Linked DNA regions of Drosophila melanogaster. The gene in region 1 interacts genetically with each later gene. Each region holds a gene or a part of one and is shown on either strand. Other genes may lie near its edges.

The links. Genes that interact genetically often act in the same process or in processes that back each other up.
Region 2: of Dp (region 1) and RpL30, changing one suppresses a phenotype caused by changing the other (phenotypic suppression), as found in Drosophila melanogaster (one study listed by BioGRID).
Region 3: of Dp (region 1) and bonsai, changing one suppresses a phenotype caused by changing the other (phenotypic suppression), as found in Drosophila melanogaster (one study listed by BioGRID).

Annotation. Positions count from the first base shown.
Region 1 is NT_033778.4:13,220,734-13,228,291, reverse strand, and holds Dp (DP transcription factor), read right to left. Parts: upstream 5,860-7,558; 5' UTR 5,247-5,859; coding exon 5,180-5,246; intron 4,702-5,179; exon of another isoform or gene 4,632-4,701; intron 4,118-4,631; exon of another isoform or gene 3,830-4,117; intron 2,971-3,829; exon of another isoform or gene 2,881-2,970; coding exon of another isoform or gene 2,826-2,880; coding exon 2,668-2,825; intron 2,602-2,667; coding exon 2,541-2,601; intron 2,484-2,540; coding exon 2,354-2,483; intron 2,291-2,353; coding exon 1,957-2,290; intron 1,889-1,956; coding exon 1,653-1,888; intron 1,593-1,652; coding exon 1,510-1,592; intron 1,447-1,509; coding exon 1,363-1,446; intron 1,307-1,362; coding exon 1,122-1,306; 3' UTR 547-1,121; downstream 1-546. Other genes in the region: Fsn (F-box synaptic protein), read left to right, coding at 6,123-6,430, 6,488-6,852, 6,916-7,010; CG17059 (uncharacterized protein), read right to left, coding at 7,389-7,526. UniProt on the Drosophila melanogaster protein: Component of the DREAM complex, a multiprotein complex that can both act as a transcription activator or repressor depending on the context. In follicle cells, the complex plays a central role in the site-specific DNA replication at the chorion loci.
Region 2 is NT_033779.5:19,007,480-19,010,956, reverse strand, and holds RpL30 (ribosomal protein L30), read left to right. Parts: upstream 1-1,719; 5' UTR 1,720-1,752; intron 1,753-1,819; 5' UTR 1,820-1,841; coding exon 1,842-2,008; intron 2,009-2,273; exon of another isoform or gene 2,274-2,346; intron 2,347-2,413; coding exon 2,414-2,582; 3' UTR 2,583-2,903; coding exon of another isoform or gene 2,904-2,924; 3' UTR 2,925-2,926; downstream 2,927-3,477. Other genes in the region: CG31793 (uncharacterized protein), read right to left, coding at 2,904-2,924, 2,980-3,477.
Region 3 is NT_033778.4:22,636,236-22,639,419, forward strand, and holds bonsai (bonsai), read left to right. Parts: upstream 1-1,534; 5' UTR 1,535-1,617; coding exon 1,618-1,823; intron 1,824-1,882; coding exon 1,883-2,016; intron 2,017-2,075; coding exon 2,076-2,578; 3' UTR 2,579-2,633; downstream 2,634-3,184. Other genes in the region: Cdk9 (Cyclin-dependent kinase 9), read right to left, coding at 1-638, 707-964, 1,024-1,108, 1,171-1,355; CG3732 (uncharacterized protein), read right to left, coding at 2,803-3,184. UniProt on the Drosophila melanogaster protein: Essential for gut mitochondrial activity. Might be involved in tissue specific growth factor production.

The sequences.
Region 1 (7,558 bases):
AAAGTAAACATAAACCATATGCGATGTCATGGATTATTGGACTTATTGCTTGGGTTGGGTGCAAGCAGAAGGGAGGAAAAGATTAAATTCTCTGTTTATCATATTTTACAATATGCAAATTACTTCTTTATTAACTTGTCACTCGGTTCGATTTCGTCTCACTTGTTTGCAATTTCCTTTCCATCCATGCAATTATTTCGTTTCATTACACAACTACATGCTCGACACTTAATTGTTAACGCCTTATACTTGACTACTAATTTGTATTTGCATGCTGTTGTATTCACTTGAAGAGGGTTCAATAATATAAATACAAATTCTGAAAATGTATATCGTGTTTTAATTGTTATTACTAATTAGGTAGGTTGATTATTTCGCAACTATCTGCACTCCCTTGTCAACTTAAAATTTGGGTTTTGAGAATCTAAAAGAATCGCTTTGTCAAAGGGTGTTAGCAAATTAAACATATTTCATATGTTCGCTCTTGTCTGCAGTTCAAACTGCTCGTGGCATTCTAAAAATAATTGCATTTCACTGCGGTTGTGTACAGTTTTGGTATATTATATTATTAAGAGACAATTACCCATAACATTATCGCTTTTGCTTAAGCCTACCCAAACATGAAAAGGCCATTGGGGGGAAAAGGGAGACTGATAACAACTAATTAGAGAGTGAACATTAGTCTGGGCATGTGGTTTCGCGGTATTGCCTTATGTGAATTGTGGTTTGAACTAAAAACGCGTTCTCCTTAACTAGACAAATTATTTTAAAAACGTTTCAGCTTAAACATAAATCTTCAATGATACAATTACAAACTGTGTATGCAAACTACACTTACATACATGAACTACCGAATCTTTCTCGTCGCTGCGAGATTGTATATATATAATTTAAGAGTCTCATTGAGAAGTAAACAAAACCAATTGTGTGGGTGGGTCGGATTGGGTGTGGAGTGGATTGGAGTGGAGTGCGGCTCCTGACTAACCAGGGGGCCGTGGCAAACCTAACAAAGCGTTGATAAACGTAAAACTAAACGTGTCCTCCGCATCAGCATCTGCTCCTCCATCCGCATCCGTGTCCGCATCGGCCATGGCTGGCACAATGACGGCGGCACCATCAGCTCAATCAATGTCGTCGTCCAGCTCGTCATCATCCATCTCCAGCTTGAACTCGCCATCGGTGGTGTGTTGTGCCGAGTGTTGTGCAAAGCCCTGGGACTCATTGGCCGACTCCAGGTACCCGTTGAACTCATTGTCCTCGTCATCCGATTCGTACATATTTTCGCCAGTCTTGCCGGTGCCGTAGGCTGGGCCAAATATAAAGTTTAATAACAGTGAATTGGAAGACAATATATGGTCATACCTTCTACGTATTTGGCAAGGTTTGGAGGCACCCACGACTTGACTCGTTCAATGTTCTCCGGCGTGCATTCGCCCTTATCCAGTCCTGCAGGTAATAGCATATGCAATGAATTTCTTATCCCGAATGCCCAATATTAAACACACTCACCCAATAGGAATCCCATACGCTTGAGCACCTCAATGTCATCGTGCATTTCGAAGGTTTTGTCGAACTTGAATATGTATTCGGACCTGAAACGATATATGGGAAATAGAATACAAGCCATACTCCGACTGAGTGTGAGCGCTCACTTGTCGTTGGTCACACTGCAGTTGATTTTCGTGGACTTGTGCGTGTTCACGATGATGAACGGTAGCTGGATCGAGGCATTCGGGGAAGGCACCACGCCTTGGCTCTCGTTTCGCTTGTTCCGCTCGACCAATCCCTTGAACGCCACATGCTGCATGATCATTTCGCGCAACATTTCGTTTTTCTGTTTTATTCGCTCGCGGCGCTGACAGTTTTCCTCTTCCAGGGCCAGAAATGTCTATGAAAAGGGGACAAAATAATCACATTAGCATGGAGTTTGGTGCCTTTGGTGAACACAAGTCCCACCTCTGTCGAATTTGCGGGCAGTCCTATCCAGCGAATCTCCTTCTTGTCCTTGGAAATAACATTGATTGCCATCAGTACGTTGAGCGCATCGTAGACACGACGTCGGATATTCTTTTGATCACAGTTGTTGTCGTACGCATTGTTCTTCATCTCCTCGCTGACCAGGTCGTCGGCCACCTCATTGTAGGTGGTCTTGCCCTTCTCCTCCACCTTTTCGCATACCTTCATCGAGAAATGGCGCAAACCTTTGCCTGCCTTGTCCGGCTTGCGTTTCCTTTGAACGGACGATGAGGAGGCCGACATGGAGTGCAACGAGTTGCTCTGAATGGCATGGCTGTTTGGGAAGGAACAAAGCTATAGTATCCTCCTCGATCCTGCTCGGTTGGTTACTACTTACAGTTTTGATTTCATTTTTATGGGATTTGGTGTAAACTTCACATAGCGATCTCCCTTCAAGGGCAAGTCGTAATGACCACTGCCAGCACCCGAAGTCTTTTGCGCCGAAACGGTGGTGTAGGTGGTACCTGCTACAATAAGGGATACAATGATTAATTGAAGTGGTAAGAGGAGGATCACACGCTTACCTTCTGTTTTTGGAATGGACAGTCCGTTGTCCTGCAGTCGTATAAACTGCCCTTGACTGCCCTGCGTTTAAATCGGATCGTTAGGTACTAAGTGTAAGCAACGTGAGCAACCGCGTTCTACACTTACCATCTGACTAAAGGCGCCCATGCGTCCCACGTTGCCGATGCCGCTAGCACTTCCGCTGTTGCGCGCGGATGAGCCGGTGGCGTAGACCACCGCCACGGGCTTACCTCCCTCCATTTCGGACTTGTTCTGGGCCGGCTTCAGCATTTTGGATATTTGTCCTGCAGAATTGGAAATTGGAAGATGCGGAGGTTCCTTAGTTTCCGATATACACATAACACGCGACTGAAATGCCGTCGTTGATAACAAAACTGCATGTACTCCACAGACACACACATGGGTGTCAGAGTGTTAGCGAGTAACTGAATGTATGTGTGGTACTATCAACGATGCGTTTTTTCGCCGTATATACGGTGAATTCATCGCAGCGAAGTGAAGAGAATGGAATGGAGCGAGTTAAGCGCACTGGAGTCGGAATACAACAACGAAAGGCGAGCGGCACATTAAGATTGGGGTGCATACACACATACACACAAGGTATACCCACACTCACGTGCTGGTGGTGAGTGTGCGTGTGTTTCAATCGGTGTGACAAGGATACAAATGCAGAAGCATAAACAACCCGAAACCAGATCGCCTGGACATTAGTGATGGCAACCACGTGACCCTTAACCAATTAGAGATGGTTCGATACTAAAGTTCGTGACTCGACAAGATTGTTGATCAGTCATTAGTCGGATTAATCCAAGTTCGAATATAATTTGAATTAAATATAGTGCGATTATAGGTTTCCCATTAAAACTCACAATTCGACTTTTAACTGGAAAGACAATAAATCAAGCAGAAGCCTAAGCAGAAGAAAAAGTAAGAGCAAATATGATACCGGTTAGTATTTTTAAAAGCGTGACATTTCAAATCACTGTTCTTAGTTGCGTTCTTTAGTAAATTTTATTTACTGCTAATTTGGTATATCCAACACTATGAGCACTTCCATTCCAAAGCAACTATAATATCAAGGCAGAATTAACCGGAAACCCATTAAGACTACTCGGTTGGCACCCCTGGGTTTCGTATCCAACCGGCTTTTCTAAACATTTCCAGTTTTAGATGGTATTCATTCGATGTAATAATTGTTCACCTGTCGCCAGCCCAATATTTGCATAATCATAACAACAAAGCAGGTGGACAACGCATAATGGAGATGAAGATGCCCAAAACAAAAACCGCAAAGGGTCGAGCGCTAAAAATACCTGCCAACTCTCCCGCACCCACGGGCACATCACACGCACACACACCTGCAAGTGAGTCAGACTCACGGGGGCTTGAGCAGCGGACACATGCGAGAAAATGCCGGACTGTCCCACCAGATGGTAACGATGGGAGTCTTAAACTCGGCGGGAGTTATCCTACAATGCCTAGGCAGAGTCCCAAAATGCAGGTGAAACCATAATCCCTACAATTGGAGAAGCAGTTCCATAGTTCGTCTGCACCAGTCAACCAGCAGATAACTACAAACCAGGTAACTCGCTGGTACGAACAGGCTGATATACTGGTCTATATAAAGCGTTTATGCGCGCTTCATATTCAACAAAGAGCAATATCACTGATTAAAAATTACTATTTCTTTACATATTGGGGATTAAAGAGACATTTTATACAAATAAAAGCACGTCATAAAGCTATCCATATCTTCTTCTTTGCTATCATGACTGAATGAAACTCATGAAGTTAATCAGTTCAGTACTGCGGGGTACGGTAAATACCGCATAAACGCGGCGACGGACAACTACACACGTGTACAGCGCTTACACCTATTTGCTCTCGCCTGTTTTGGGCTTCAGCTTCGTGGCTGACTACGTGTGTGTGTGTGTGGCAGTGTTGTTCTTGCTGTGGCCTTTTTTCTCTCACCCCGATCTCTCTTGGCGGTGCGCCCCGTCTCTCTCCCACTCGCTAAGATATGGCAGAATGTCACGCTGTTCAGATACATTTGTTTCAAGTTGAATTTACAATGTCCCTCACAATAATACCTTTGTACGTAGCTGAAATCAACGATTTATCACTACTTCACTTCATGCTAAATCCTCAAAGCGAATTCGCAGTGGCGGCGAAGTAATCAGCTGTTCGCCGCCCAATGAAAAAACAAAAAAATAAGTAGGAGAAAACGCGCGCGTGCTAGTGTGCGTGCATGTGTGTGTGTGAGCAAGCGCGCCAACTGGGCGATGGGCGTAGATGGCAGAAGGGGGCGGGTCTGGGTGGCTTACTGATATAAGTTGTTATTTCGCGGGGGTCTCTGTCTTTTATTATTACTTTTTGCCAATTTCTAGCACTCTTTTCGGTTCGTCTCGCTGGCCTCCCCCCGCAAAGCGTATCAAACGATGAATACGGTAGGCAAAAGAAACCCGAAAAAGCAAAGATGGCGTTTTACGCTGCCCATGCAACTTTGTAGCGTATCTGTGTGGGTCGCCTTGTGTATGAGGGGGTGTGTGTGTATGATGGACTATAGCGGAGGGAGGGAGTGCACTCACTCCATCGTGAGCAAAACTCCTATTACAGGACACCGCTTCCGCCCACTTACCGTGCTCGTTCCGGAAGAAGAAGTTCACCTCATCGGTCTTCACCGTACCGCCCGTCGAATGCGCCATTTTTCGGCCGCCGGAGATCAAGTGATCTTGTTGTTGTCGCTTACCGCTCACCAGGTGGACCGCCAAAAACAAAAGGAAAGAGCAGTGCTACGTGCCGTTTCGCCGCAACGTGTGTGCTAGGGGGGGGCAAATGGAGCTGGAATGGGCGACGGCGGTGGATAGGCGGACGTACTGCACCCACGGACTGGGGCACGTGTGCAAATCCGGATGCGGACCACGACCACGACGACGACGACTGCAATGGGGAGCGCACTTGTACAAAAAATAAGTGTCGCCCAAGTCAAAATGGCGAGCGCATTTTTCACTTCCAGCGGCAGGGCATTTTTTTTTTCTTTTCTGCTGCTCACACACACTCACAGCGGCGGCCCTTTTTCGGTGGCCTTTTTCGCGGTGTTTCGGCGCACGGATTTTCACGAGATTAGTGGCAAAAGATACGGCGAACTTTTAGCTATCGAACGGCTGGCAGCAGCGCGAATTTCCGCAATTTCTAAGCGCAACAAAATGGTCACAAAATTTCCACCAAGTGGCTGCTTTTCGTTTTCATGTGGGAAAGGCAAAGCAGGCTGTGTGCGGGTGCGAATGAAATGGCAGACAGTGCGCGCCAATTTACGCATCAATTTACGCAGTGTTGTAAGCAGCTGTGTGCGACAGTCGCTATCGCACACTGGTCGCGGATGTAAACAAAGTTGCCACTTTGTCCAGGTGAGCGGTATTTCGCTGGCAGCCCGCCAACGGTCACCCTGAATCGCAGAATATTAAAGTTTTCGAGTTTTATTTTTACCCATTTGGTTGGTGTGGGAAAATGACAATCAACAGGAACGGGTAAATCCAAGCAGCTATCTACACGAGCCCAGCAGCGGAGCGCACACGCACACAATGGTCGATCCGGTGGCGGCGCTGTGCAATTACAATGTGCTGGAGGTAATCTTCTCCTACCTGGAGCTGGACGACCTCAGTCATTGCTCGCAGGTGTGCAAAAGTTGGTACCACTTCCTCAACGACGAGAACAGCGACGTCTGGCGCTGGCACTGCCTGAACAAGCTGCCCAAGGAGTCCCTCAAATCGGACCTGCTGGCCTCCGTCTCCACGTACAAGACGAAGCTGCGGGCCTATTTTCACGCCTGGAGCCCCAACGACTGTTCGAGGAATGTGTACATTAAGCCGAACGGATTCACCCTGCATCGGTAAGGTATTCGGTTTGCTTGAGTCGGCGTTATATGTATGTCCCTCCATTCCCGCAGCAATCCCGTGGCGCAGAGCACAGACGCGGCCCGGGGCAAGATAGGATTCCGCCACGGTCGTCACACCTGGGAGGTGATATGGGAGGGACCGCTGGGCACTGTGGCCGTCATCGGCATATCTACCAAGGAGGCGGCTCTACAGTGTCACGGCTATGTGGCTCTGCTCGGCTCCGACGACCAGAGCTGGGGCTGGAATCTGGTCGAGAACCACCTGCTGCACAACGGCGACATGCAGGGCAGTTACCCGCTGCTGAACAATGCTCCCAAGTACCAAGTGGGCGAGCGGATACGCGTCATTCTCGACTGCGAGGACAACACCTTGTCGTTCGAGAAGAACTACGAGTTCCTCGGTGTGGCCTTCCGGGGTAAGGGGAAATAGTTTGGTGATACCAGCGATACGAACGATTCTATGCACTTTCACCTTGCAGGCCTGCCGGACAAAAAGCTCTATCCCACAGTATCCGCTGTCTACGGCAATACCGAGGTCTCGATGGTCTATCTGGGCACGCCGTTGGACGGATAGCTTTGCAGAGGGCCTACAACTTGGTTAACAACTTCCACGGATCCATTAGGTTATTGTGTACATTTGTATTTATCTCAATTATGATTGCTTCATTCCACCTGAAACTCAGTTCGATAAATTTAGTTAATAGTTTCGTTTTTTTGTACAAAATTATGCATTTTGTTGATTTACGCTAAGCCAAAGTTCATATCCACCTCGGCACTATCTCACATGGCAATTTACCTTAGTTATACGAACCAAATGAATATAATAAGCGATTAAACAATAGTTGAAGCAATTTTTTATACACCAATGATCGCTGATTGTGCAAGTAAAATTACAGACAGAAGAACGAGTCGCGAATACAAATCTTTCAATCCATTTATTGCGTGGTGGCCTCTACTGTTTCCCATCGGTTTTCATCTTGGCCCAGTTGTCTTCATCGAACAGATCATCAAAATCATTGTAGAAGTCAGCGTGGACGTGCTTATCGTTGGAGGGCAGGTGGTCCATCATCATTCCTGTGGCTCCGCCGGACTAAAGGAATACAATATAAATATATACATATG
Region 2 (3,477 bases), on another chromosome or scaffold:
TATAGGGCGGGGGCTGTATTTGTAGGTCTGGATGTAGGTGACTTAAAGCAAACACACAGATATTTCGATCTCTGTTTCAAAGATCAAGTGGGAAGTGATTTATTGAACTGATTATTCAATATGTAAGTCTTAACTAGATAAGATACAAATATTAGAAGCTATTATTTAGTCAAAACTATGTTACATTGGCATATATCTATAACAATAATTTGCTATCAAGCAAATGGTTCAAAATACAGACTGAACCTTATGGATAATAAAATATAAAATCCTAATCCTGCCTTAAATTTTATGTCCTGCTAACGATCCATATCACGTAAGCTACCACAGGGAGATGATTTAAGTCAATCCTATAATAGAACCTTTTACTATATGTGGGAGACCAGTAGCCACACAGATCGATGAGCATTTCGCAACTTCATCATCGCAGCGACTTGGACTTAATTTCGCGGGGGAAGTTCAGAGCTCCCCCGTGGCTATTGGCAAGGAGATCCCAGCATCCCAGCTTCCCAGCAGCCAAGCATCCAACCATCAAGACAGCCGGCTAGTGAAAGAATTTCCGGACTCTATGTCAAAGGTTGAATCTTATTTGTGCAGCAGCACGCGTCGCCAGGGGAATGGAAATGATAGGACAGTGGAGGTGGAGGATGTAACGACCCAGACGAGGCGCCACCACCCACGGTGGTGCAGGCGGCAATCATTCCTGACAGCATGCGGCCACGTAAATGGCGTTGAATTACAGCCCGACAATCGAAGTGTTGAAGTCCCGAACTGAAAAGTTCACTCCTGCCCGTCCGGCAGCGGCAGCAGCAGCAGCCTGTGCATCATTCATAAGCCGGCCCAGGCCACAGATTGTCTGGAAGCGAGTCGAGTGCGCACGCACGCAACGAGCCGATGATGATGAGCTCAGGACTCCCAAACAGGCAACTTTATGACTGTGGGCCATGGGTTGGCATTGGGTTGTGGTGTCGTCACGTGCCGGTAGCCGTCTGCGACTGACTCTGACTCCGGATGTGGATGCGGATGAGGATGCGGATGAGGATGCTCCGTGCCGCCCTCCTTGGAGCTCCCTAATCCACGTTGTATAATTCATTTGGCGTTGCCGACCCGTTCGCCGTGCGGAACTATTTATTCAATAATTCGACGTAAAAGCTTGACACAGCAATCCGGGGTTGTGAGCCGTCACAAAGCAACTGGGTCTCTTCCAATCACGCAGTTGTAGATACCTTAATGCCCACACCCACTGTTTAGTGTTTTAAGCTCTATCACAAATAGATTTTAAATAAAACACATGCTATAGTTCAACACTTTGGGTGCTTGGCCAACATTTAAAGGTTCAAAGAGCTAAAGCATAGAATCATATTAAGATTGTTGGCATTGCATATGTTTCGCATCAATAAACGCCGTGCCATCTAATTTTAGCTTAGATTGTTGCTCGACGCATTATCACGATTTAAAAAAATTTAAATTCACGCACGCATACAATCTTCAAGAAGGTTGGCAACTACAAATATTCGAAGTCGAAAACGGCGTTACCAATCGTCATAACTTTGGAGGTTGTACTGGCTAAAAGATAGTTTCGGTGCGTGTCCACGCTAATTGTGGATTGTGTACACGCTAATTGGTATTTTAACCCTATTTGTATTAATTGGTGGTATTTTCTCGCATCCCCCCGTCGGTCACACCAACACAAACGTGGTACCCATTTCCGCCTGTTCTTCCTCTTTCTTTTGCCATTGTCAGCCGACGAAGGTGGGTGTTTTAATTTTTCATCCGGCTCCACAGAATCACTCGACTAACTAATTTCTATCGCCTGCAGTGCTTTAACCCAAACTATCAACATGGTGGCCGTTAAGAAACAAAAGAAGGCTCTGGAGAGCACCAACGCCCGTCTGGCGCTGGTGATGAAGTCCGGCAAATACTGCCTGGGCTACAAGCAGACCTTGAAGACCCTGCGCCAGGGCAAGGCCAAACTGGTGCTCATCGCCAGCAACACGCCCGCCCTGAGGTGAGATGCCCATGCGTCTGCTGCTAAGCAGTAGGTTTCCACTGTGCCCAAGTGACCACGTTTTTGATGGAACCATATGGAGTCTGCCCTTAAAGCTGACTGAGAAGTATGATTCCGAGTAGTGGAGCAGTGCAATCAATCAATCTCAAGCTTCGGGACTGGTTCGCTTTAGTCTACGGCGCTTCCAAATGGTTCCTCCAACAACGGGCATGCACATCACTTGGGGTAAGAAGCCGGCATATAAACACCTAGCTGTAGTCTACTGCCCATAATGATGATCCTATTGATTCCGAATGCCTTGACGAATCCTTTTTATACTAGAGACTCTTTCTGACGCTCGAACCAATGGCTCATCTGTTCCAAGCGCCTTTATATCGGTACTAACATGTGCTCTTCACATTGCAGGAAGTCCGAGATCGAGTACTACGCTATGCTGGCCAAGACTGAAGTCCAGCACTACAGCGGCACCAACATCGAGCTGGGCACCGCCTGTGGTAAATACTTCCGCGTGTGCACCCTGTCCATCACCGATCCTGGAGATTCGGACATCATCCGCTCGCTGGAGACGGCCTAAACATTTATTTTTAATCGAACAAGACGACACAATAAAGTTTTGTATGAGCAGAGATAAAGTTTAAAATAAAAACACTATTGTTTTGGTAAATTCAGTGAAAGCAATGTTGGGATTATCATCAAAAGATTTGGCACGTGATTCTTGTTGTTTAAGTAGCATTTTATTTAAAAGAAAACATTGTCATTTTGCTTTACTCCCTTAAGTACAAACGTTTTGTATTCTATAAAACTGAATCTATGACCACGAAATTCCCTTTCCATTACAATTGGGCCCAATATACATTACGTAGACAAACACATTAATATGATAAAAATGTTAGCTTCAAATATGGTTTTGTTTGGTCTAAAATAGAAGGAAAAGTTAGTTTATTAATGAAATTTTCGACTTTAGTACTTACATTCTCTGCAACTTTCAGTAGATGATCAAAGCTGGCCTTTCCCGTCTGCATAACCATTCCATGGAACACTTTAGCCTTTGACGCGGTCAACAGCTCATATGGAGAACCGAACTCGACGACGTGACCAGCATCCATCACCAAAACTTTGTCGGAGTCCATAATGGTGTTTAGACGATGAGCTATCGTGAGTACTGTGCAGTCCTTGAATTTGTTTCGAATGGTGGCCTGAATCAGGGCGTCCGTCTGAGGATCCACATTTGCCGTTGCCTCGTCCATAACTAGGATTCTATTCTCGCGCAGAATGGCCCTTGCCAAGCAGACTAACTGGCGTTGGCCTACGCTAAAGTTGGTCCCGCCCTCAGATATGATGCTCTGCAGACCCGAAGGCAACTCCGAAATTTCCTCCTTGAGGTGGACGTCCTCGAGGGCCTTCCAAAGCTTATCATCGGGATATTGCTCGAAGGGATCCAAGTTGTATCGCATTGTGCCGGAGAACAG
Region 3 (3,184 bases), 9.4 Mb from region 1:
GTGGTCAGTTGCTGGTGATAGTTGCGCATCTGGTTGCTGCGGCGTGGCTGCGCCAGGTACTCGAACATGCTCTGCAGGTGCTGGGACAGCATCTTGCTCAAGTCGCTGGGCATGGGATCCGTCCAGAAGAAGTCGTGATTCAGAGCTGTGTCCGCATCGATGCGTTTCTTGGGATCAAGGGTCAGCAATTTGTCCAATAGATCACAGCCGGTTTGATCCTTGACATACGGACGCAGGCGCTCCTTGACTCGACGCTTCTGGTTCTTTGGCAGCTCGATGGATTTGTACAGCTCCAGCTCCTCCACTCCCGGCCACACGTCCGGCGTAAAGGAGCCGCATAGCTGCGAGATAAAGGTTAGCTGCTGCTGCTCCGTATTGCCTTGCATGATGGGCGAGCGTGTCCACATCTCGGCCATTATGCAGCCGGCTCCCCACATGTCCACGGGTGGACCATAGTTGCGGTCACCAAGTAGCAGCTCAGGCGGCCGGTACCACAAGGTTACTACGCGATTGGTATAGCGATTCTTACTCTCGTTCTTTGGAATGCTAAAAGCACGGGCCAAGCCAAAGTCAGCCAGCTTTAAGATGCCATGCTTGGTAATCAGCACGTTGGCAGCTTTCATGTCTCGGTGCAGGATCTAGTAATGCAAATGAAAACAGATACATACAATGTAAAACCAAAACTTTGCTTAATGACATGACTCACCTTGTTGCTGTGGATGTAATACAAACCGTTTAAAAGCTGCTGCATAACCTTCTTAATCTCGCCCAGACTGAACTTGACGTTCATGTTGGACAGAAGACCTGCCAAATCGTGTTCGCAGAAATCAAAGACCAAATAGAAGGTGGATCTGTAACCATTCGTGGCGGTGGCCTTGGTGCGGCAGATCTCGATCAGATTCACCACGTTCTCGTGCTTTAGCAGCTGCAGGATGCGGATCTCTCGCAGAGCCGTGATGGGAAACTAGGGGAGCACATATATAAATAAGGAATTCGTCTCTTAAGATGTTGCTTTTCACGCACGCCCTCCTTTTCGTTGTCCATCAGCACCTTCTTCATGGCCACAAACTTCTTGTTGCCCTTTTTCTCGCGAGCCTTAAAAACCTCTCTGTAATCAAAGGGGTCGTATGTTTTAGTTTAAAGTTAGTTTTCACCAATTTGGAGACTTACCCGAAGGTGCCTTGGCCAATTTTCGCCACCTTTTCGTATTTGTTGCTCTCGTCGCAGTAGGGAAAGTCGTAGTCCTCGATGTACTTTTGTTTCTCCATCAGGGACATCGTGCGCGATGAGCTGGAGCCCACGTTGGAGGGCGTCGACCCCGAAGGCTGCTGGAGCATGTGGGACATGTGCGCCATGGTTAAATTTGCCTCTATTTGTACAATTTTCACAATCACAGTTTCGCGAGAAGCCGACAGTCGAAAAGAAAGAAATCGGCAACAATTGGTGTTTCTACAGCTGTTGACTAAAGAAATACCGGTGTGCACACACTGTCAAGGCCTATCGATAAGAAATCGATGGGTCAAACAGCTGGGTAGTAATAACTTTTCGATTGTTGGTATACACTGGCCAAGTGATATAACCTAGCCAAAATTTGTCCAACAAATAAAAGCCGAATTAATGAATAAACTGTTGAATATAGCCCAGGCAGGGCATCGGCAGTTTGTCCGGGAATATGCATTCAAGTCGGACCTGAAAATCAAATGGATGCGCCCCGAGAAGATCGCGTGCTATAAGCCCGAAAAGAGCGGCGATTTAGCCAAGCTGCCTCCTCTGAAAGCCGACGAACTGCTGCCGGAATACAGGGACTGCAAGGAGTTGGATAAGTATGTTGCAGTATTCTCTCAATATAATAGTTTATTTACATCATCTCACCATTTTGTAGAGCCGACGAGTCAGTTAAATCCTTGTTCAAACTGAGCAACAACGCTAGTTACCTGACCACAAAATTCTATCGCGATGAGATGGTCAAGGAGGTGCAAAGACATGCCCAGGATTTCGGCTCAATGGAGGCCAAATGTATGTATCTTTGCAAAGTGCACATATAGCAGTTCCCCCCAAATTTGCCCTTCTTTTAGTGGCAAAAATGACTGCAGTTATCCGCCGCTACCAGGAGCACATGGACAAGCATCCGCGCGACAAGATGATCAAGGTGCGTCTCAAGGAGCTCATCGACAAACGCAAGAAGTTCCTCAAGTACTTGAGACGTTGGGATTATCCCCGCTTCGAGTGGATTCTCGAGAAACTCGACCTGGTGTACAAGCCACCGCCCACACATTTCCACTGGATCACCCGCAAGGAATCCCTCCAAAAGTTGACCGACATATACTGCGAAAACCTAAAGGAAGAGCGGCTAGAGGCTTACCATAAGCAGCTGCAGGCCCAGCAAATACCCTTCCTTGAGGAGGCCATCAAGAAGATGCAGTTCGTGCGGCAGGAACAGATTTCCTGCGATGTCCCCGTGACCGTGACAGAAGAGAAGATCGCCGACTCAAAAAGGCAGCTGGAAATGCTGAAGGAGCTGCAGCAGGCGGAGGCAGCCGCCAGCAGCAAGAAACAAAACGAGGATGGCTTCAATTAGGCCCGATTCTTTAATGTTACGGTGTCTTACAATAAATGTAAATGCTGGTTTTCTTAAATTATATGTTTTATTATACTTTAAGAGTTAGGCTGGACATCGTACCCTATGTCATGATCATCTGAGCGCATACTGGCAAATAAATAAGAAGGCAAGCATGATTGCCTTAGAAAAATGTGTAAAAACAGACGCAATTAAAGAGAAGTTCCTAAAGGGTACGGTTGCAGCTAACGTCTGCCCGACGAGGAGGTTTTCCGCCTGCCGCCGCTGCTGGAGCTACTCGAGCTGCTCGACGAAGAGTCGCTGGAGCTGGACGAACTGGACGACGACGAGGAGGACACGGAAGAGGTAGAGTCGCGTGAGGTACGCTTGCGCTCCTTGTCGCCATTGCCAGTGCCCTCTTTGCTCTTGACATCCGTGGAAGTGACTTCTTCGTCGCCCCAGAGATCGTACTTTGATAGATCCTCGTCGTCTCCCTCGTCGTCGTCCTCATCTTCTTCCTCATCATTCCGCTGCTCATCTCGGCTAGACCTTCTGGGCCTCTTTGAGTCCTCTCTATGCTCGCCGTGCTTTCGCTTCTTGCGACGACCGAACTCATCGTACTCGCTA